Linked DNA regions of Astyanax mexicanus. The protein of the gene in region 2 purifies or fractionates together with the protein of the main gene of each other region. This does not show direct contact. Links are inferred from orthologs where the notes say so. Each region holds a gene or a part of one and is shown on either strand. Other genes may lie near its edges. The genes, in order: atad5a and rfc4.

Region 1 (11,356 bases), on a different chromosome or scaffold from region 2:
TTGAAAGGGAATATATTATTTCTCCTTTTACACAAGTTAAAATAGGTCTTTGGGCTATACAATACATGTTCATGAAGTTCTTTACACACAATCACGCTCACATAATGAGATCTCACCAGCTCTATTCTTCTCAGTTTCAGAGCCGTTATGGGCTCTGTCACTTTTATGTAAATAAGCTGTTGCTGGCCATGCCATGTATATGCTGGAGCATTTACCACACCTTAGTGTTTGCTTGTGTTAAATGGCAAAACATAAACCACCTAGTTCATGCTTAACTGCGATAGAAGCACATTTTGAGACCTCTCTAGGGAGAATGTGTAATTGCATATAAAAGTGGAAATGTGGAAGAGCAATTTTAATAAAGGTTAATGCAAATGAATTGTTCTGTAAAATTTCTTTTATAAAATACTGTCAAAAAATAGGGCTCTGTGTTGCCAGATCACTCATGAAAGGATGGGCATAAAAACTACTGTTTTAATTAAAAAAAATACATAAAATATAAAAACACAGGATCGTCTTCTTTAATAAACAAATGCCTGTTTTTAAAAAAATAATAAAAAATAAAAAAAGCATGTCACCTGCTTTACACATCATAGAGGCCAGCAGCTTAGAGACGATGGAACCTCTTTTTCTCATTTTGCACTGTTTACTGTAGGGAAAATAGGGAATGACTCCGATGATATTCCGGGCACAGGAGGTTCTGCAGGCATACACCATAATGAGCAGTTCCATGATGGTTGTGTTGACATCCCTGTGGGAAAAACAGATCAAAAAAAGGGGCTAAATGAACACCCAACTTTTAGTGACTGGGGAAAAATAAACACTCAAATCAATGTGGGTCTTACTTGGATACAGTCTGGATGATGAAGACATCTTTACCACGCACCGACTCCTGGATCTGAACACGCGTTTCTGTGTAAGAAAAAAAAAATCGCTTCTGTAAGACAAATCTATGAAAACTCTTTTCTTATGATATAGAAAGGGTGGTATTTCCACTATGATACAATCTATTACACTCTAATACACATGGTCAAAACAAAGAGAGGGTCTTTTTAATTGGTGAATAGAGGATAGTGGCTCAGCCACCCAATTTGTTTTGTCTGCATTATCCAGCATGGAATGCAAAGAATGAGCAGCCTCTCTGCAAAATCAACAATTCAGACTGGGCCACCAAGGCCAGTTATCCCGACCAGGACAACAGACAGACATTCCCAGGACTAATTTGCCACTGAGGAAGTCCAACTATCCTGTAAACATCCATAATTCATTTAGAAATGTAATGTATTATCATCAAAATCATAATCTAATAATAATAATAATAATAATAATAATAATAATAATAATAATAATAATAATGTGTTTAAAACACGTTTTAATCCTTTAAGACGAGAATTATGTAACACTGATGTGAAAAATATATGAATATAATAAATATATAAATGCTGACTCTAATGTTCTAAGAAAATAATATTTAATTACTTTTTTTATTGGAAGCCTTTTTATTTCACAAACCATCTCTTAACAGTAAAATAAACATGATTAAATGTATTCTAAATCAATTAACCTACTTTGTGGTCTATCCTGCACTGTAAAAATGTTTCTTGTAAATCTTTACTGCAAGTTAACAGCAAAAAAGTTGTTAGTAAAGGATTGTAAAATTACAGAAAGATCACAACATATTATTTTATAATAAGAATTGTAATTAATACATTAATTACAAATTATTGCAGCTTTTGTAGAATAAGCTTTTGCCTAAATAAATACACAATAACACTGTAATTATTATTTACAATAAATATATGTAGTTTTAAGTTTTGGGGGTTTAGTTGCCAGTGAATATATATAAAATATATATATATACATGATGTCCATTATAATGGACACAGAGTCTGAAGGGGTTAAAATGTTGCTCAGTTGTGGTGTGTCTCAGAACTACTGTCTGACCCCAATTACTTAAGAGGAAAGCAGAAGTGATGAGATGAGAGTCAGTTAAGCTGTCCACACAACCATGCTGACTTGACAGGGCGTTTTAAATGCAAAGCACTTAAATTCTCTACTTATACCTACAACCTAACAGTAAGGTGGGCAAATTATTCCACTGCAAATTATGTTTATTAGCAAAAAGTAAAAACTTGCATCTGTCTACAATAAAATAAAATGTAATTATATAACCTTTTCAAGACAAGAGCAAGATGGATAAAAGAAGTCCTAAAAGATTCTGTAGAGCCCATGTGGAATGAGCTAAAATTCCCCAGAAACACTGCAAGAAGCTGGTATCTGCCTATGCATCATGTCTGCAGCAGAACATACCAGCATAAAGGTGTTTGAGGTTGAATAATTGTGAGAATTGTGTAGTTGTTTTGGGCCATTTCAATTGTTATTTTTTTATTGGTTTATTGTATTGCAAATAAATGCACCATTTTTAATTTGAATCATTTTGAGGATGTGTTTACCCACTACCTATAAAACCTAAAAATAGATATTTTTGTAACAGATCCGACCACAGACAGATACCACTTGAGATACAGCACACTGGGTTTCATCTTACCTCTATTTGCTTCTTGATACACTTGCACCTTGCCAAGCTCCACACCCAATCGTCTGAAGTAAATAAGAAGGAAAAAATAATCATCAGTAAGAAAAAAAAAACAGTGATTTACTAAACACAGAAGACTAAAGGCGAAAGGTCTTGAAGGATCCTTAGTCAATAATTTCACACCAGCTTAGGTGAATGATTAACTGAATTATTGGCCAACTTCAGGACAGGCACATACTTGCCTTTCTCAGATTAGAAGCTGCACTTTAAGCTGGCAGGTCAATATTTCCACCAGACAAAACATTATTTTACTAAACACAACACAAAGCTAAACATCAAATGTGAATCTAAACAACATCAGAATAAATTAAGTTTAACTTACTCTGCGATCCTTTTTCCCAGCTCCCTGCTGGAGGGGTTGGAGTTGGCCGTAAAAATGACCAGGCCTCCCTTTGCGGCGTTCATGTCCAGTTTCTTCTTAGTTTCTACCTCGAGGGACTCAGGCAGTGGCTCCCTGGGCTCCCAGGCACTGCTGAGCCCTTCCTATAAACAGTTTCACAAGCAGACTGTTAGTTTAACACCACACCACACAAGTATGCCTGATCAAATCCTGTAAAGAAAAAGAGGAGGAATATGATACAATCAGCTGTTAGTAATTAGTTGAATTAAGTACTTGAATTCTACCACGGTTTTTTAATTAGTCTAATTTTGGTTTATGATGCCAAACCAGGTAAAACATTTTTAGAAGCTATTTTACCATTGAAATATAAGAATCACTTGAAAATAAACCCTATGCTCAAATGGTTGTACACACCCTTTCTAAAGAATACATTCAGATACTAGAGGGGTATAAAGCAGAGGTGGACAATATCACTTATTATAATCTCTCCAATCATACCTATAATACACTTTTAAGCATATCATGCACATCCAACAGTGCTTAAAGAACACTGACCGAGCTGTAAATTTAATTACACAGAGCATACATAATCATGTTTAACAGGATGGGAAAAAAGAATAGGTTTAAAAAATACTGTGAAAATATAAAACAATTGTTTCTTTAGTTTGTTTGTTTGTTTGTTTGTTTGTGTTTAAAGCCAATTTAGCAGCTGTGGCTATTTCATGGCTAATACAAGTAAAAGATTTCACTCAATAAAAAAAATTAAAAAATACATTATAATACATAATACATTATAATACATTATACATTATAATACATAATACATAAATACACTAGATAAGGTTGGTCACATTAATAGACTTTAAAAATTGTAAAAGTTTTAAAGGTGAGACCTTATTAAAAATATCTACAGTAGTCATTTCTGTAAAAAACTGCTGTCTTTTCACTCTAAGAGCAGGACAAGATAAAATATGGTTGATTGATAAAACATTGCCACAGTGATCACACAGGGGAGGTTCATCTCTAATTAGTAAAAAGCCATGGGTGAGCCTAGAATGTCCAATCCTACACCTTGTATAAACAACTTGATCATGTCTACAAGAAAATAATTGAGTTACAGTTTGTTTCACAGAAATGCAGATTTCATGCAGCTTATTGTCATCGCAGCTGTCCCATTCAGCTTGCCATTTATCAATTATATAGGACGAAAGTACAGGTTTGATATCAGAGACAGGGATCTGGCACTCAGAGATGTTTTCATTCAAAGCTCCTTTAGCAGCACTATCTGCCTTTTCGATACCAATTGTTTCTTTAGAATCAGTCTCTCCTGATGACTTTTGAATGTGAACATTTGTATTAAGATAAAGAGAATGTTTTTTTTTTTTAAATATCTTTAGGTTATTTAAAAATGTTATTGTGATGTTCTGCAAAATATAGCGCGATTTAATAAATAAAGGAATTTCAAATATTTCACAAAAATTCTAGGATTCAAATGACCATGATTAATAACAACAGTTGTATGTCCAAAACTGGAGTAAAATAAATAACACTGGGCATATTATATTGCAATTATGTATGGGACAGCGCAAAGAAAAACTGTTATCCTGACAGGCCTATGTGGAGCAGTGTTGTTGTACTACAGCGCTCCATCTAATAATATTGTTTCTTCAGAATCTGTAACTCCTGATTCCTTTTAATGTGAACATATGTATTCAGATATATATCATTATTTGGGAAAATATCTTTAAATTATTGAATTAAAAAATGTCACTGTGATGTTTTGCTGTTCTGCTATAGTGGGATATAATTCAATGCAGACATTTCCACAAATTTCACAGAAATTCTAGGATCCATCCAGTCATGATTATTAACAGTTTGTGTTCAAAAGTGGAGTAAAATAAATTATACTGGACATATTGTATCGCAATTATTTATGGGACAATGTGCACAAAAACAGTTATCCTGACAGGCCTATGTGGAGACGGGTTGTCTGATACTACAACGCTCCATCTAATACTTTAAGGGTTAGTTAGGGGGTTTGATGATCCCCAGTTCACCTTATCTCTAACAGTTATTAAATTAATTTAAAGCCTTAAAGCAATGCTCCAAATCTAACCTAGTTATCTAATACACTTTCTGAACAGCAGAAACAGTTTCTCCTACAAAAACAAGACAAACTGTTGATTAAACCGTTGAAATCAGAAGAAAAAATGAATAAGCACATGTCCCAATACTTCTGTCCACATAGTGTATCTGAAAGTGTCTCCAAGTGCCCATGACAACAAGGCTTTCTCGTGACAAGAAACCAACCACAGGGAAATTAGCTAGTTAGCATGTAAGGCTAGCTAACCGGTTATCTTAGCTATGTTTCAGCCTTAAACATGAACCAACCACTTCCAAAATCAAATATAAATCTAAACATGTTTACAGAGGTCTTCAAAACCATTCTAAATTCATAAATCTAGCCCAAAACTAGAGATAGACACACACTCTTCACTGGAGCTGGGCAGTATATGTCCACATATTATTAATCCATCCCACGATTTTGTTCCACTTCACAGGGCTGCTCTGCTGCAGCTGACCTATCCCCACAGTTGGAACGAATTCCTGGGCTGGATTTTTAATATATGGACCTGGACTCCGCAGCTCCGCTCAACAGCTAGCTGAGTTAACCTAGCTGGCTAACAGGCGCTACTACATATGCACTGCACTGTTAGGAAATGGAGAAAGCGTGAAAAACCACACCAAAAGTCACGCTAAAACAGCTGTAAATACACATTAAATGAGCTGAACTGATTTAGTGGATTCTCTCACCAGTTTTGTCTCCGTTCCGCCTCCCGACTGACTTACTTTATTTCATGGAGTGCTCGGGTTTAAAAGTGCAGATAAGAGCAACAGCGCTGGAAATAAGGAATAACCGTCAATCGCTGCGCGAGTTTTCAAAATAAAAGACTTCATTCAACACAACCGGCCGCATAAAATCAGGCGCCGTATCTGTAAATCAGAAGATAATGTTTAGTTAATAAGTTTAGAATTTCTGCTAAATATTACATAGATAAATACGATTGAAAAATATTATTATTTTAAAAAAGGATTTGACTTTGTACTATAAATCTTGAAAAATTACCGAGTAAATAAAATGCCCTAAATGTGAGTTTTAAAAATTCATCCCTTGTCGGTCCACTTATTTCTCAATTTATTTATTTATGAATTTTGTTATTAATTATTGTTTTATTTCTTTGTTTGTTTGTTTTAATCCCCTGGTTTGTTTCCTTAGCTACGAACTGATTAGTTTATCGAAAGCCCAGTTTATTTAGTTAGTTTAAAGGTGATGTAAAGTATTACATTGTATTAGTAAAGCCTTTAAACAGGAAAAAAAGATTCATTCATGTGCCTGAAATCTGGTTTTTCTTCCTAAATAAGATTTTCTTCCTAAAAAAATTATTATACATTATTATTATTATTATTTCTATTATTATTATTACTAGTAGTAGTAGTAGTATGTTGTAGTAGTATTAGTGGTATTATTATTATTTGTTATTTATGTAATAACAAGCCAACGCATGCTGTACACACAAATAACCACAATAATATATAAAGGGAGTTTTTAAATTATTATTATTATTATTATTATTATTATTATTATTATTATTATTATTATTATTATTATTATTATTATTATTATTATTATTATTATTATTATTATTATTGAAAAATAAACTCCTACTACATTTGTAAAATTACGCGATATCCTGAACGGTGAGGTGACGAAACTCGCTGTGATTGGTGGATTTTGCGCGGCGGGGCGGGCTCTACAGTTTGGCGCCATTTGCGGGAGAAGGAACTGAGCGGACTGAGTGTAATGTAGCTAGTTGTATTTTATCTGTTTAGTTTTGTAGGAAAGAAAAACGGGCAGTTTTATTGTGTTCGGTGGTGTTTCTGCTTATATTAATGTGTGTGTAGTGTAGCTCACCCGTGTGTTAGGTGTGTTTCAGTAAGCTGTAGACAGGTATCTGTTATTGTTATGGAAGAGTAACGTTAGTTAGCTAGCCGGTTAGCAGCTGGCTTTGTGTTCGGATTTCTGTTATTCGGAACCGGTTCAGTCACTCGGTTTTAGTAACATGAGTTTGATATTAATGTAATTAGTGACAGCTCTCAACTGTGGGAGGCACGGACCATGTGTTATTGGCGCTCAGGTATCATGATTAACTCTGGTGAGTGGCTCTGTAAATGTCCTTATTCTAGAGGACAGTATCAGTACAGTATAGCCTAGGTTCCCTGTTTTGATTAATGTTATATAAGTTAAACTAACTAACCTAGTCAACCTACACGTCTTTAAGGCCTTACTGTTAAAACTCAACTGTGTTTAGATGATTATAGCTTTGTGTTTTACTGGTACTGTGCTGCTGTTTTGTTTTCTAGATTTATAACTTGGATATCAGCACCCACTAGCTATGGCTGGCGTTGTCGCAATGGCAGCTGTTATTGAGGACTTTGAGGCTACTCAGGTTTGTCATTATATTGATTTTTAACTAATTTATATGCATTTTGGTGTTTATCCTAATGGGTTAACAATTAAATATGTGTGTATATACATATGTGTATATATATATATATATCGTCATATTATTTTAAATATTTAGTCACGTGGCCACAATAAGAAGAAAACCTGAATGAGCTGCTTACAGAATTTATCTGATTCAATTTCCAGTTTGGTATCAATAATCAGAAATGGGTCTGAGCTCTTATGGGTTAAAATGAAAAAGACAGTGCCTTCGCTAAACTGAAAAGAAAACAGTGGTTTCATTTCAATTACTCTTTGTTATTTGGTATAGTTTTTATATTCCATATCAAATGTCTGATTTTTTAAAATAACTTAAAGTTCATTCCTCTTCAAAAGTGTTTTGTAATTGCATTGTTATGCTATTGTATTTTTACTTTTATATCAGTGGCATACAGTGAATGGTCTTAAAACGACAATAATATTGTTTATTGTAAGTGAATCAAGACATCAAGCTGCTCCCGTTCTGCCTATCATTCTCAGAACTTTCCACTGCTTACTGTAATTACTACACTAATAACACAGTACTCTACTTTTACTTATAGTTCTTCAGTTGGTAACTGTATAATTGTATTGAATAAACTACTTGGAATACTTAAGTACAAAATTTTTTTAGTACTTTAGTACTTACACTTGACTGTGGAGATTTAAGAACAGCTTCTATTTGTCACTTTTTTGATAGAGCAGTTGTACTTTTGCTCAAGTCTGGGTCTCTAGTACTTTATACATGTCAGCTGGCCACAGATGGAATTTGACTTCTACCTTTAACCCATCTGATCACACACATGCACAATAGTGAGAGAAATAGTTTAGTAAACTGAGAGAATGGATTGATAAATTGACCATTTCATTAAATTAGGGGAGAGCTTTTTGTCTCTGCATATTATTTTTCCTCCTTGATAATTTGGGTTCTGTCTACATTGCTTTTGCTAAACTACAGTATTTGTGTATTTATTCAGCCGTGCAAGAAGCTGAGGAAAGATGATGATCTGCCGCCTACGAAGACCATCACAAACTACTTCATGCCCTTACCGAAGTCTGTGGAAAAGCCTTTCTCTCCTCCTCGCTCCAACAACATTATGGATTACTTCAGGAAGACTTCACCTGCTCAGGAAAATATTGTTTCTTCCCAAAAATGCAGCCCCCTTCAGTCTGCAAAACCAGTCGGTGGTGAGGAAGCCTCTGCTAAGCTGGGTAGGGCACCAAGGCAGAAACGCTCCAGAAAACAAACAAAGGAGCAAAACAAGCTCCAGGAGGAGGAGGAGGAACAGAAGGAACAGGAAGATGCGCTCAATGATGACTGTATATTATTGGGGAGTTCCAGTGACTCTTTATTAAAGGAAGGTGGCAACCTCTCCATGTTTGGCAGTGATACAGCAGCCCTGCTCTCTCAGATTAGCGGTGATATCTGCTTAGATGAAGAATCTCCTAAAAGAAAGAACAACAGGGAGACCTCTGCAAATGGCGAGAAAGTGAAGGATGTGTTATGTAATCGAAAAAGTAAGAACCCTAGCATGGATGGTGACGGCTTAACAAATGATGATGCATCTCCTGTAGAAGGGAATGGTAGAACTATAAAGACTGTGGTACGTAAAAGTAGAAAAGCGAGAGTCAGCCAAAGTGACTCGTGTACTGAGCATGATCAGTCTCTTGCTAATGCCAGCATGGATGTCAATGTGGATGAGACTTCTGTGCTGAACAGAAGCACTGTTACAGTGTCCTTTGAAGACTTCTTACACAGTCAGAGCCAGGGAGAGGAAGAGGACCCTGCAGATCCTGAGCCTAACAAACATGGTGCTGAAATATGTAGTGGTGCTAAGTCTTGTGAGTCTAATGAAGTAGTAATTGCAGCTCCACAGGTTTCCCCAAGAACCCTTACAGTCCAAGCTGAAGTGCATCCCATCTCCCCAAACCAGGAGTCAGCAAAGAGCCCTGAAATGAAAGTGGCATCAATTTTCAGTAGAAAGAAAAAGGATTGTCAAGCAAAAGATAGCAAGATATCTTCCTCTTCTTCCACCCCTCAAGTAACAGCAGACATTCTGCCTGACCTTAAGAGGAAATCCAATGTTGTTCTTCAAGAAGAAGATCTGGAGCTGGCAGTAGTTGAATCCAGCTCCACTCCAAAGTGCACTCAAGAAGAAAGGAAGCTGTTCATGAATGCCTTCAAGCAACCAGGTATGGATGGATCTAAAGCTAAAACCAGCAAGGCATCTGCAAAAACAAAACCAGTGCAGGAAAAAGCAACAGAGATTGTAGAGAAAGAACCTGATGAGAAAGCTGATGAAAGCAAGCCTGATGAGCAAGCCAGCGCAGAGCAAAACCAGAGTACAGAACCAAAAAGTTCTGGCAGGGTTGGAAATAAGCGATCTAAGAAGTCTGGGAAGAAAAAACAGAATAAAACATCTGAAGAGGCTCCAGAATCTACACAAAAGCAAGAGAACCTTCCAGCATCAGTGGAGAAGGATACAGAGTGTCCACAGAGTGGCTCTGCTGATGATCAGGAATCGCAACCTCCCAAGGAGGTTAGAAGATCTTCGAGAGAGAGCACACGCAGACAGGCTGTTCCTTCTGTACCTGAGAGGAAGGCATCCCCGCGTAGAACAAGGAGCCAGGAGAAGGTGAAGGAGCCTACAGTATCTCAGGATGAGCCAGCTCTGCCTTCTACTCCAAAACCCCTTCGATCCAAGAAGAGTGTTTACAGGGCTGAGATGCTTTGCCCACCTGACAAAAAAGAAAGCCCTATCAGGTGGGTTTCGGAGACTCATTGATGGCTAACATGTTGTTCTGAAACTTGTGACTGAGCATGTTTTTTAGCAGATATAATTAATAGTTAATGTGTTTTGTGTTTGTGTTTCTCCAATCAGAATGAAATTCACAAGAGTGTTTCCATCTTCTGCAACAAAAATCGGAGATTTTAATATATCCAGTCCTCTTTCTGCACAGGTAGCTTATATTGTGTTCTCAAGAATCTGCTTTTTCTATTGTTTCATTAATTTACATTATTACGTAAATCCCTGTAGCCTCTGTACATCCAAATGTTTTGCCAAAGTTAAGTTTTGTTTTCATGCACTATAATTATGCTTAGGAACTTTGTATGATGAAGGCTACCATGATTAACAGTGACCATTTTAAAGATGGTAAAAGACAGTTTAGGAAGATGTCCACACCAGATTTGTATTTGTACTTTCAGAATGTCTAGAACAACCTATAAACAGCTGTCTGGCAGTGTTTCCAGTCACTAGCCATATTATGCCAGTATAAGCTAGTATGTGGTAGTATAGTGAGTACAGGGTTGTAGAGGCAGTATAAGGTAGTGGAGAGACATTTTGCCTATGTGTTAACGGCAGTTCATTTTGTTCATAGACTATATGTCAAGTAATACGAATGAGAAGGTATCAGTCCTTTTTCTGTTTAGGTATTTTATGTATATTTTCAAAATTATCAAAACATCAGGGATAGAAATACAGCTAATGAATACCTTTTTGAAATAATTTCTTTTGACAGGATTCAAATTCACTGAAGAAAAGGAAACAGGCTAAAAAGTTGGTCCAGAAAGCAAAAGCACTTAAACAGAGCAAAAAGACTGCTGCAGTAGAGGAGCCTACTGTGCGCCGATCCACAAGGACAAAAGAAATCCCCAAAATGAGTTATTGTGAGAGTGAGGTAGGGCTTTTTTATATTTCATACAGCTTTATATTATTTACAACATATTAGCTTTTATTCCAGTGCCAAAAATAAATTTTGCTTTCCTTCTGTTTTAGGAGTCTATAGTCTTTGTGGAAGATAATTTAAGCAACCCTGCTGCACCTACATCTCAAGAAAGTGGCCAAAATCAGAAAAGTCTTCGCAGTTTGAATGA
Region 2 (10,911 bases):
TGAAGCGAAACTTGGAGCATCTAGATGTCAAAGGCTCAATGATCCTGTTACAATAGAACCCACATAATTCGAATATAATTAAAAAACACAACAGACTGAAACATGACAAACTGCCAGCAAACAAGATGCTAATTACGTGTGAATTAACTAAAGTTAAGAGTGTAGCTAGAGTGAAGGGTAAACATCTCTCCTGACCTGCTGACGTAGTTGCAGATGAGGCAGAAGCGTGTGGTGCGCGACTCTTTCTCCATGGTGCGCCTGAGAGCAGCCTGGGCAGCATTGGTCATGGAGTCTGCCTCGTCCAGTATTATGATTTTGAATGGAGGACAATGCTTCCCACTGAAAGAACAACAGCAGAACTTAATGCCAAATTAAATATATTAATAATATTACTGATCAAATATTCTTCTTAAACCATCACAAACTTACTCTGGTCGTGTACCAGCCACTGTCAGCTGAGCAAAGTTCTTTACTTTTTCCCGGACCACCTGAATCCCTCTCTCATCAGAGGCGTTCAGCTCCAGCACTCTCTGGCGGTACAGCTCTGGGCTGCAGAGAGAGGGGAGTACATTTAGTGCTGATGTAGCTGGCCAAATAAAGAAGCATTAACCCTAAAACATAAGTGCATTGTAAAAGAGGACAATGTCGCTTTGTCATAATTTTGTCGTAATTTCTACTCTGGGCTCAGTATGCTACTAGCTTCACAATGTAACTTTGGTGAAGTAAGCAAGAAAATGTTCACCAGAAATGTGTAACAATGCAGAGCCAATTAAGGCTGCATAATATTGTTTTTAAATTGATATTGCAATGTACACATGTGCAATAGTCTCATTACATAATGTTTTGTGTCAATACACACACACACACACACACACACACACACACACACAAAAAAAAACATACTATTCTCATTGAACATGACAATCTCATTAATTTCTCTCTCATACCATTTATTTTTATGCCAATCATTGACGCACAAATTGCAATTTTGATATCATGACATCTTTTAATTATCATATTACATGCAATTATATCAAAAATACATTTACTGCAATAGTATGATCAGTATATTCTTGAAAATATTTTATTCAATTTTTGTCATGTCGCCAAGAATATCGTTATTGCAAAATACCATAAAATATCGTGATATTATTTTAGTGCCTTATTGACCACCTCTAATGCCTTTAGGTATGGCTCTAAAATAATATCACGATATTTCAGGGTATTTTTGCGATAACGATATACTTGGCGATATAGGAAAACTAAAATAATTCATTCATTTCAGGAATATATTATAATAGTATAATCATAATGTGGCAAAATAAATAATATACCATAAAATAATATAATGCACATATAATAATATAATGCAAAAAATATTGCAGAATATTTAGTGCATGCATATAAACTGCAAACTAAAACAATTAACATTTATACAATTTTAATTACTGACATGCTGAAATTTGGGGAAATTACTGTATTTTTAGCATTGCAATATATATTGCAGAACAAAATATCACAATGCAGCCCCAACCCATATGTGTGCAATTTTTAGTGGCCATGTCTCTCAAAAGTTCAGAAATGCATACAATAAAAATGTAGAATAAACAATAAAAATAAGGTGGTTTTACCCATATAATTCTCTTGCTGCAGCAAGAATAGTGGATGTCTTTCCAGTTCCAGGTGGTCCATAGAACAGTAGATTCGGGAGCTAAATGCAAAGAGAAAAGTGATTTTCACAAACTACAAACACAGATGAATGCACAAATGTCAACCATACGCTTAACAAGATTAAACAGCACATAAGCAATTCTGATTAAAAATATGCACTGCATTGGTGAGGTCTGTCAGAAGGACTCATCTCGTCTGCACAGACAGAGACACAGTGGAGCGAGGGAAGTGCTTATGCCTTCAGCTTCACACATATTCAATTACACAAGTGGCACAGAACACAAGGAGAAGAAACTACAGCAGAGAACAAGCATTTACTATTTATAGTACAATAGAGAGAGAGAGAGAGAGAGAGAGAGATAGAGAGAGAGAGAGAGAAAGAGAGAGGTAAACCCAGCTCTGCAGATCTTCACCACGAGCCATCAGTGGCCTGACCTGACTCTCAAAGTGTGCTTATTCGAAAGTTATTGTTTATTATCTGTTCCACAGCAAATATGTTTAATATATATTAAATAATCTGTTAAAACGAAAGGAATTAAAATGTATAATTTAATATGTCATATAGATAAGATTAAGATATATGTTAATATAACATCATGTCTGAAGGTATATTTAATAATAAAAAATAAATTAATTAATATGTTAATATAACATCATGTCTGAAGGTATATTTAATAATAAAAAATAAATTAATTAATATATGTTAATATAACATAATGTCTGAAGGTATATTTAATAATAAAAAATAAATTAATTAATATGTTAATATAACATCATGTCTGAAGGTATATTTAATAATAAAAAATAAATTAATTAATTAAAAGAAAACCTACGTCAGCGCCCTCTAGTGATTTCTTCAATACCGCAACAACCTCCTCTTGAAAAGCAACTTCATCCACACACTTAGGCCTGCTGTGAAAGAAAAAAAAAGACATTCTATAAGTCATAATGTTATACTGGTCATTAGAACAAACAAAATAGAGCCAGTGGTGCCATTTAAAAAAAACATCAAAAACTATAAGTACGTATGATTTTAATTCAATCACCCACTGCCAGCAACCCTGACTAACAATGTAATGAACTATAAAGAACCCTAAAACTTTTGAGTGTTTTATAACTTAATAACTCAAAAGTCTATAATGTGGCATACTGTGATGTAATTTTACCAAAAACAATACATATCTTCAACCCTGCTCTTGTACTTTTGCACAATTCAGCATAACAATCACAGATTCATTGTTAATAGTGGTATTGAAAGGCACCAGACATAAGACCAATTCTGTGGTTAACGTTATCACAATAACTGGATAAAATACATATCCTGAAGTAAGACACGTTTTTCTGACAGCCAAATTAAACTACCATTATACAACCAACACCACCTTACAACTCACACTACCACACAACATCAAAACAACCTATACGAAACTATTACTCCATAGTTATCAAAGAAACAGCTATAATGCAAAATCCAAAATGGTATATTTCAATACAAAATAATAATATGCATACTGTTGCAAATCAGTGCTACAAAAAAAAACACCCATCACTAATAATAGGAAAACATGAATTCCTCTCTAATATAAGTTGATTGAACACCATACCAATATTATGGCGTATGCCAGTGATCGGTGTATATAATTTACATTGCTTATTACCAACATACCACAACACAACATACAGCCTGTCACTGTTTTTCCCTTTTTGATTGCCAACTGTATTTTACATTATGCCCAGACCAATACAAATATGTCAGAAAGACAGGCAGTGCTTTTGCTGGACAGTGACATTATGCAGATTTTGCATTGTCTCCTATCCAGAATTGTTAAAATGGACATACTTTTAAATGAGAATCTAAAGATGTCATCCAGCAAGGCTGACAAATATCATACAGCTTAAAAAAAAACAAGATTTAAGCGTGTATTAGCTACTCATATATTGCAAACAATAGAATTTTAATGTTGTTTTATATTTAAGTGATTAAAAGTGTGATGAAATACTGCATGTCGGCATGGTTTGCCACCCCTTTTAAGTTAAGTTGTTGAATAGGCTGTTCTGACTGAATTTGAATTTACTCCAGAAGTGTAGGCCAGTCTTCTACAATGGATCACTTTAAGGCAGCTATAATACAGTGCATTATTAGTATCATGACATGTTGGATCATTTACTTCTGTTACAATCAGGTGGAAATCTCTAACAGGGGTTGGCATATCATATTACATGCAATTATATGAAAAATACATTTACTGCAATAGTATGATCAGTATATTCTTGAAAATATTTTATTAAATTTTTGTCATGTCGCCAAGAATATCGTTATTGCAAAATACCATAAAATATTGTGATATTATTTTAGTGCCTTATTGACCACCTCTAATGCCTTTAGTAGGGGTGGGTGATATGAGTCTAAAATAATATCACGATATTTCAGGGTATTTTTGCGAAAACGATATTCTTGGCGATATAGGAAAACAAAAAAAATTCATTCATTTCAGGAATATAGTATAATAGTATAACAGTATAATCATAATGTGGCAAAATAAATAATACAGCATAAAATAATATAATGCAGCAAATAATATTGCAGAATATTTTGTGCATGCATATAAATTGCAAACTAAAACAATTATACAATAAATACACCTAAAGCTTCACAGTGAATAATAGACTACTTTTAAGACAGAACAGCCCTATTATCACGATATTTACGATTTTTAATATCATGATATTTCTGTGTCACGATATATTGTATACGATATAATATTGACCACCTCTAATGCCTTTAGACAAAGAAAATACATATAGTCATTCACTTACTATTTTTCCACCCATGGCACCGGTTTCTGTCTCTTCTCTCCACTGCTCCCAGCTGTGGCCTTATCCCTCTGTGGTTTAACACTCTGTGTAGATCCTTTCAGAAAAGCCTGCATGTTTCCTACCCTGTAAAAGTAGCAGACACACACACACACTTGTATGATTGGTCATACAACACTGACAGATGTTTTAAAGTTTCAGCAGTAGTAATGCAGCTGTTACTGTACTGAGGCTCAGCTCTACAGGTTAGTATGCTAACAGCTAGGATAACTACTATACTAGCAGCAGCAGCAGAATCAACACAGCCCTGATTCTCTCACTCTTCAGTCTCTAACTCAGTTTATAAGAGAATATAAAGGCAGCACAGGCCTCAGGTTTATATAAAATATTAGTAAGCATGCACAACAACCAGAAGCGCGTCCACACAACCCAGTATTTACCTGCTTATAAAGGTTTATAAAGTGTTTACTCTCCGAACTGAAACACAAGCAGCGCCAGTTTCCCGCCAGGCGCGCACACGATGACAGCGTCACTACGTCACTCCGGCGCCGACGTGTTCACGCGCCCACTTTTTAATATTTATTATATTTAATATTTATTAAGATTTTTTTTAATATTATTAAGGAAACTAATGATACTATAGCAAATAAATATGGAAAAACAGAAACAAAAAGAAGAAAATAAAAACATTATAAATCGGTTGTTTATGGCTGCAAAGCTGCACTGTTTTTGTGTTTAATATAAAATTCATTTTATTTTTTAAATCAAATTATATATTTTTACATTAAGAATCAAAATATGTATTCAAATTTTAAGTATTGCATGCATACGGAAAAATCCACTTTTTTCATATTTTCAGCATACGTTAGTGATGCAAATGTAAACACTGATATAAAAAAAATATTTTATGGTCTTTCAAAAAATAAATTCTTTTTTTAGAGAACCTAATGTATTCCATATTCCCCCCAACATTAATACTGTCCTTAAAAATACTGTATAAAACGTCAAAATCTATGTATCGTATTACAAATTGTTGGTAAAAAAAATTACCAGTACATAATACTGTTATGTTCAGATGTACTGATATAATGATATAACTATAGTAATATAATTCTAATCATAATGTAAGTAATAATTATGATTGTTAATGATAGTAACAATAACAAGATAGTAAGAATAACTAAGCAAATAAAAAAAATCGTAAGAAATGAAGGTCATTCAATTTGACAAATTTCAGTAAAGTCGCACAGAAATCCCAATATAATTAGTAATGAATGATGGGCAGCATTTTAGACTTCAGAACGTTTTTAAAACATTATAATATTCATTGGACTTCAGACCCAGGCGCGTTATAATGATATTGACCCGCAGGTGACAGGAGAGCCCGGCACATCCCTCTACCTTCTACTGACAGCGGACTCGCTCTATTTCTCGGCAATTGACTTGTATAGTCTCTTATCCCTTCCTACTCGACCATCAATTGGTTGTGCCTGCGACCTCTTCAGCGTAGTGATCGCATTGGGTTTATTGGCTGAAGAGAGCGGCAAGAGGGAACTGATTCCTCTGTTTTTTGGGGGCATTCTGAAATCCTCAGTTTTTTTGACGCTTTATCTATCGATCTGAGCGAGAAACAGCGCGTTAAATAGCTCAGAAAGCTTTGTTATTGTCCCTCCAGCCCAGCGGAGAGAGAGAGTCTCTGTCCCCCACTGCGCATGATCCACATCTGCAGCCGAGTCACAACAACCGCCCAAAATAAAGCGAACGGCTCGCTTTAAACCTGTAAAAACTCCTCTTTACTAACTGCACCATCCTCCATACATCCTGCACTCTCTCCAGCGCCCGCCTGCGCTGTCACCAGCTCAATCTGCCGTCTCTGAACTAGAGCACCACGGCGAAATTAATGGTTAGCCACCCTCCCGTAGATCCGGTGTTCTGTCCATTTAGGTTACCTTGTCACGGCGAGCTACCTTAGTATTTATGTATAGGTAGACATGCCTTAATAAAACATTAGGGAAGATAATTCGATAGTCTGATATCATTAGCTTTTATCAAAAAATGCCCCCGGCAAAAGTGTAGGTATATGGGACACATTTGGCTTTATTGAATTAGGGCTGAAAGATATGATAAAACTATTTAAAGACAGTTTTAACAATACTCGATTTATACACAAATTATCATGACACGACATTTGAACGCAGTTAAAAGGCAGCACTGAGGATGTCTTTAATATGCTAAAAAAAGTATATTCCTTTGGACTAAAAAGCACATCTCTTTTATATATATATTATTTTTTATTGTAGTTTATTTTGCTTAGTAATAGTATTATTTCTTTTTAATCATTGTTGTTTTTATTATTATATTATTGACATAGTTTTGATACTTTTGTGTTTAGGGAAACGTTTTTTTTACTATTATTTATGCTGATTATATGTTTGTATTGACTAAATTCTGCAATAAAAAATATGAAGCATATTGTCAAAAAAAAAGTATAACCTACTGTTGATATGAAACCGTATCAGGATACAATACAAAATCAGAATACTGCCCACCTTTAATCTAAATCAAAATATATGTTTGGTTAAAAGTTAAATATAAGATAATGTATGTGTTATTCATTATAATTTTGTTTATATTAATCCACATTTATTAACATTTATTAAACAACAACTATATAGCGAGAAAATAGTAATAACAACAGTAGTTCGGCGCATGCGCAGTGCCCCAAAGCACCACATATCGGTGGGTAGCGCAACCCGACAGAACACCGGCTAGCTAAAATGGACGAATGTGTTCCGAGGAGCTGGAGCCGCTTTTGTCCTAAACTGTACCGAAAAGGGGAGAGTTAAACTCGGGCTTTTTTTCACTGTGGTGACACATTTCAGTTTTGAATCCGCATTAGTTAGCTGTTTGTAAGCGAATCCCTGTTTGGTTTAGCTTAGCTTAGCCTAGCTTAGCACAGCGAACCGTTTATTATTATTATTGTTAGCTTAGCCGAGCTAGCACCAGCCCGTTTCTACGGCGTCTGGGAGTGCAGGGAACCGATACAGGGGCAGCTCCAGCTGTTTGGCTGCGTGTTTCTTCGCTGGAGTTGCTGTTTTTAAAGCCTCGGGCTGCGGCTTGGGGCGTTTATAGAGCTGTTAAAGCCACTCAGGCACGTTTTCGTCTTGTTTTTGGTGACTCCAGACAGCTCAGCGCTTCGCCACAACGATGCGATGGTCGCATTAGGTCGCTGCTATTTCCACTCGGTCCGCTCGACCAGGCTCCTTCCCGGCCGCGGGCCTGTGTATGGCCCCGCGCCTGCCTTTCTGGTGTGACACACGGCTCACCGGCCAGGGCTTCAGCAGGACGGACCCGGACCCTGACCGGCGGCCCTGAAGCTCCACCGAAGTCATGCAAGGGACACAGTTCCAGTACGATTTCTTCAGCGAGGAGAACGCGCCTAAATGGAGGGGGCTGCTGGTACCGTCGCTGAACAAGGTGAGCTTTTGCACAGCTGGATTTCTGGACCATGTAACTAGTTATCTGTTGACTTTCTGTAGAGTAGCTAGGTTAACTAGCTAGATCAACGTGGTCAACGCAGACACAGCTTTGTAGGCTTTTTGCTAAGTGTTCTCCTAGACCACTGGTTCCCAAGCTTGGTCCTGGCTGGAGGACCCCCTGCCCCATGTTTCTGTGTTTACATTGCGCGTGTTGGGTTTACATGGGAGGAATGTGGGCTAGGTGGGTTCCAAGTCACAAAGCAGATTTAAAGGAATCAGTACATGACACATTACATACATAAACAATACATTAAACGTTAGCTTAATAACCAAAAACAACAGTGACGAGGGAAAATCCTTCAAATATGGAGGAAGAAACGTTGGGACTGAAAGACCCCCTGCCCCATGTTTTAGTGTTTACATTGCTCATGTTGGGTTTACATGGGTGGAATGTGGGCATAGACACTGTAGTCAAATGTATTTGTGTAGCACTTTTCACAGCTGACCTCGTCACGAAGCAGATTTACAGAAATCCAGTAATAAAAAAGACAAGAGATCATCAGTACATAAAATATTCACATAATACCCCATTGAGCAAGCCAAAGAAAACAGTAGCAAGGGCAAACTCCTTCAAATCTGGAAAAAGAAACTTCGGAGAAACTAAAGACTGGAAGACCCCCTGCCCCATGTTTCAGTTTTTACATTGCTCATGTTTTGTTTACTTGGGTGGAATGTGGGCTAGATGGGTTCCAAATGGGTACAGACACTGTAGTCGAGTGTATTTGTATAGCACTTTCTACAATTGGCATGGTCACAAAGGAGATTTTCAGGAATCAATGCACACCACATTACATACATAAACAATATGTAAAGCATTAATTTCAAGGATTCAGTGAGACTTAATTGTCATTCTCATCACATGTGGGACGTGAGATGGAACAAAATTGTATAAAATTGTATAACTTAATCGCATGACACAACAGTGAAATCTAGAGGAAGAAACCTTGGAAGGAGCTAAGACTGGAAGACCCCCTGCCCCATGTTTTAGGGTTTACATTGCTCATATTGGGTTTACATGGGTGGTATGTGGGCATAGGCACTGTAGTCACATGTATTTGTATGGTACTTTTCACAACTGACATTGTCACAAAGCAGATTTACAAGAATCCAGTAACAAATGGGACAATAGAGATAATCAATGCATTAAATATTAACATAATACCTCTTATTGGGCAAGTCAAAGAAAACAGTAGAAAGAGAATAGAAAAGTGGGAGGAGCTATGACTGGAAGACCACCTGCCCCATGTTTTAGTGTTTACGTTGCCAATGTTGGGTTTACATGGGAGGAATGGGGGCTAGGTGGTTTCCAAGTGGGCATAGACACTGTAGTCAAATTTATTTGAATAGCACACAGCTGACATTGTCACAAAGCACATTTACAGGAATCCAGTAATAAACAGGACAAGAGATCATCAATACATAAAATATTAAACTAATACCTCCATTGGGCAAGCCAAAGAAAACAATAGCAAGGGCAAACTCCTTCAAATGTCAAGGAAGAAACTTTGGGGGTAATTAGACACATCCTCATCCGTTTGCACTACTAAAGATTGTTGATTCAAAAAGGGTAACAGTATCACCCTATAAGTCTGATTATCTGTGTGTGCTAATATAATATAATCATAGTCGCTACAGAAGGTAACACAGACATAAGAGCACCCGAGAACACTGGTATTCCTCACCTGCATCATCCACAAACTTGATTTATTGTGTGCAAGTGGCAGAATGATTGCACCAGTGTCTCAGTTTCTCTGGACAGCTGTGAAACACACTTTCTGGACTTTTAGCTGCTGTTCACCTGTAGAGTAGATGTATGTCAACACAAACAAAGCTTAATAGACCTCTTACTTAGGTGTCTTCTAGATCAGATCAGCTCATTACCCCAGCAAAATGTCAATGTGGGTCTCACATGAGTGGATCAAGGGCTAGGTGGGTTCCAGTTGGGCTCCAGGTGAGCCTGAGCACTGAGTGGGTTTGTACATGAGTTGTTACTAGTACCCAGTTGGGCTTCTTGAAAAGACCCCATCCCACAATAGCCATTTTTATGGACAGTATATTGTTGCTGTACAATGAAAAACAAGTATCTCCAAAACAGCAACTTTACCGGAGAGAGAAAAAACATACTTCAATTTCAATGGAAGTCAATGGAAAAAGAGTTTGTTTCAGTATCAAGAATCTTTGGCATAGTGTAAGGGACAGTTTGTCTGTTCAAATTATGTAATAAACCTAAAATCCACAAAAATGGAGATACTTGTTTTTCACTGGACAGCGACTTGATTGAAGTAATTCTGATACATTTTATTATTAAGACAATTGTTTGCCACAGATATGTTGATGATCGATCATAAATTATACACCTACAACATTTTAAAGCATTAACATTTTAAATAGTTAATAAATGCATGTTTTTGGCAATTCAAATTGACTGTCATCATTAGTTCACTGTATATTTTTAAGGTTTGTTTATTTTAGTGAGTGTGACACATTCAGCAGAAGCAAGCCAGTGACTTTCTTCCATCACCAGGTAGATTGTATATTGTGGGGTCAATATTGTGGCTTTCTAGTGTTGTGGTTCTCCAAATGTGATCAGGAAGCATATTATCAGATATGTCTGAACTTTCGTCTGCTCCAATTCCAGGTTTACAGTCATGCTCTACTGTTATGAGGGAATGTCAAGCTAGGCTAAGGCATCTAAATGCATTTAAACGTTTACCAGTGTAAAACTTAACCAGAGCAAAATGAATCCTGCGCTGAGCATTCTGAGATTATCATTGTTGGTGATAAAGATTGGATGGTCATGATAAGAGGGCTGTTTACCCTGATTTTATGGGTTTTCCTGTAACTTAGTCTTAGCTGGACACTTGTTTTTCTCCTGTCGATGTGCTGA

Evidence for each region.
Region 1: the proteins of rfc4 (region 2) and atad5a purify together in Homo sapiens (affinity purification with mass spectrometry; 5 studies listed by BioGRID and IntAct, counting the BioPlex papers as one, with this or other methods). This does not show direct contact. The link is inferred for Astyanax mexicanus from reciprocal best matches to the Homo sapiens genes RFC4 and ATAD5.

The regions. Positions count from the first base shown.
Region 1 is NC_064410.1:53,627,915-53,639,270, reverse strand, and holds the start of atad5a (ATPase family AAA domain-containing protein 5), read left to right. Parts: upstream 1-6,748; 5' UTR 6,749-7,150; intron 7,151-7,358; 5' UTR 7,359-7,390; coding exon 7,391-7,444; intron 7,445-8,456; coding exon 8,457-10,243; intron 10,244-10,361; coding exon 10,362-10,440; intron 10,441-11,001; coding exon 11,002-11,160; intron 11,161-11,258; coding exon 11,259-11,356. Other genes in the region: prpsap2 (phosphoribosyl pyrophosphate synthase-associated protein 2), read right to left, coding at 579-751, 846-912, 2,549-2,601, 2,919-3,001. UniProt on the Homo sapiens protein: Has an important role in DNA replication and in maintaining genome integrity during replication stress.
Region 2 is NC_064423.1:31,881,470-31,892,380, forward strand, and holds the start of rfc4 (replication factor C subunit 4), read right to left. Parts: upstream 5,036-10,911; 5' UTR 4,926-5,035; intron 4,612-4,925; 5' UTR 4,602-4,611; coding exon 4,489-4,601; intron 2,584-4,488; coding exon 2,505-2,583; intron 1,712-2,504; coding exon 1,632-1,711; intron 550-1,631; coding exon 430-549; intron 340-429; coding exon 196-339; intron 45-195; coding exon 1-44. Other genes in the region: sos1 (son of sevenless homolog 1), read left to right, coding at 7,876-7,962. UniProt on the Homo sapiens protein: Subunit of the replication factor C (RFC) complex which acts during elongation of primed DNA templates by DNA polymerases delta and epsilon, and is necessary for ATP-dependent loading of proliferating cell nuclear antigen (PCNA) onto primed DNA.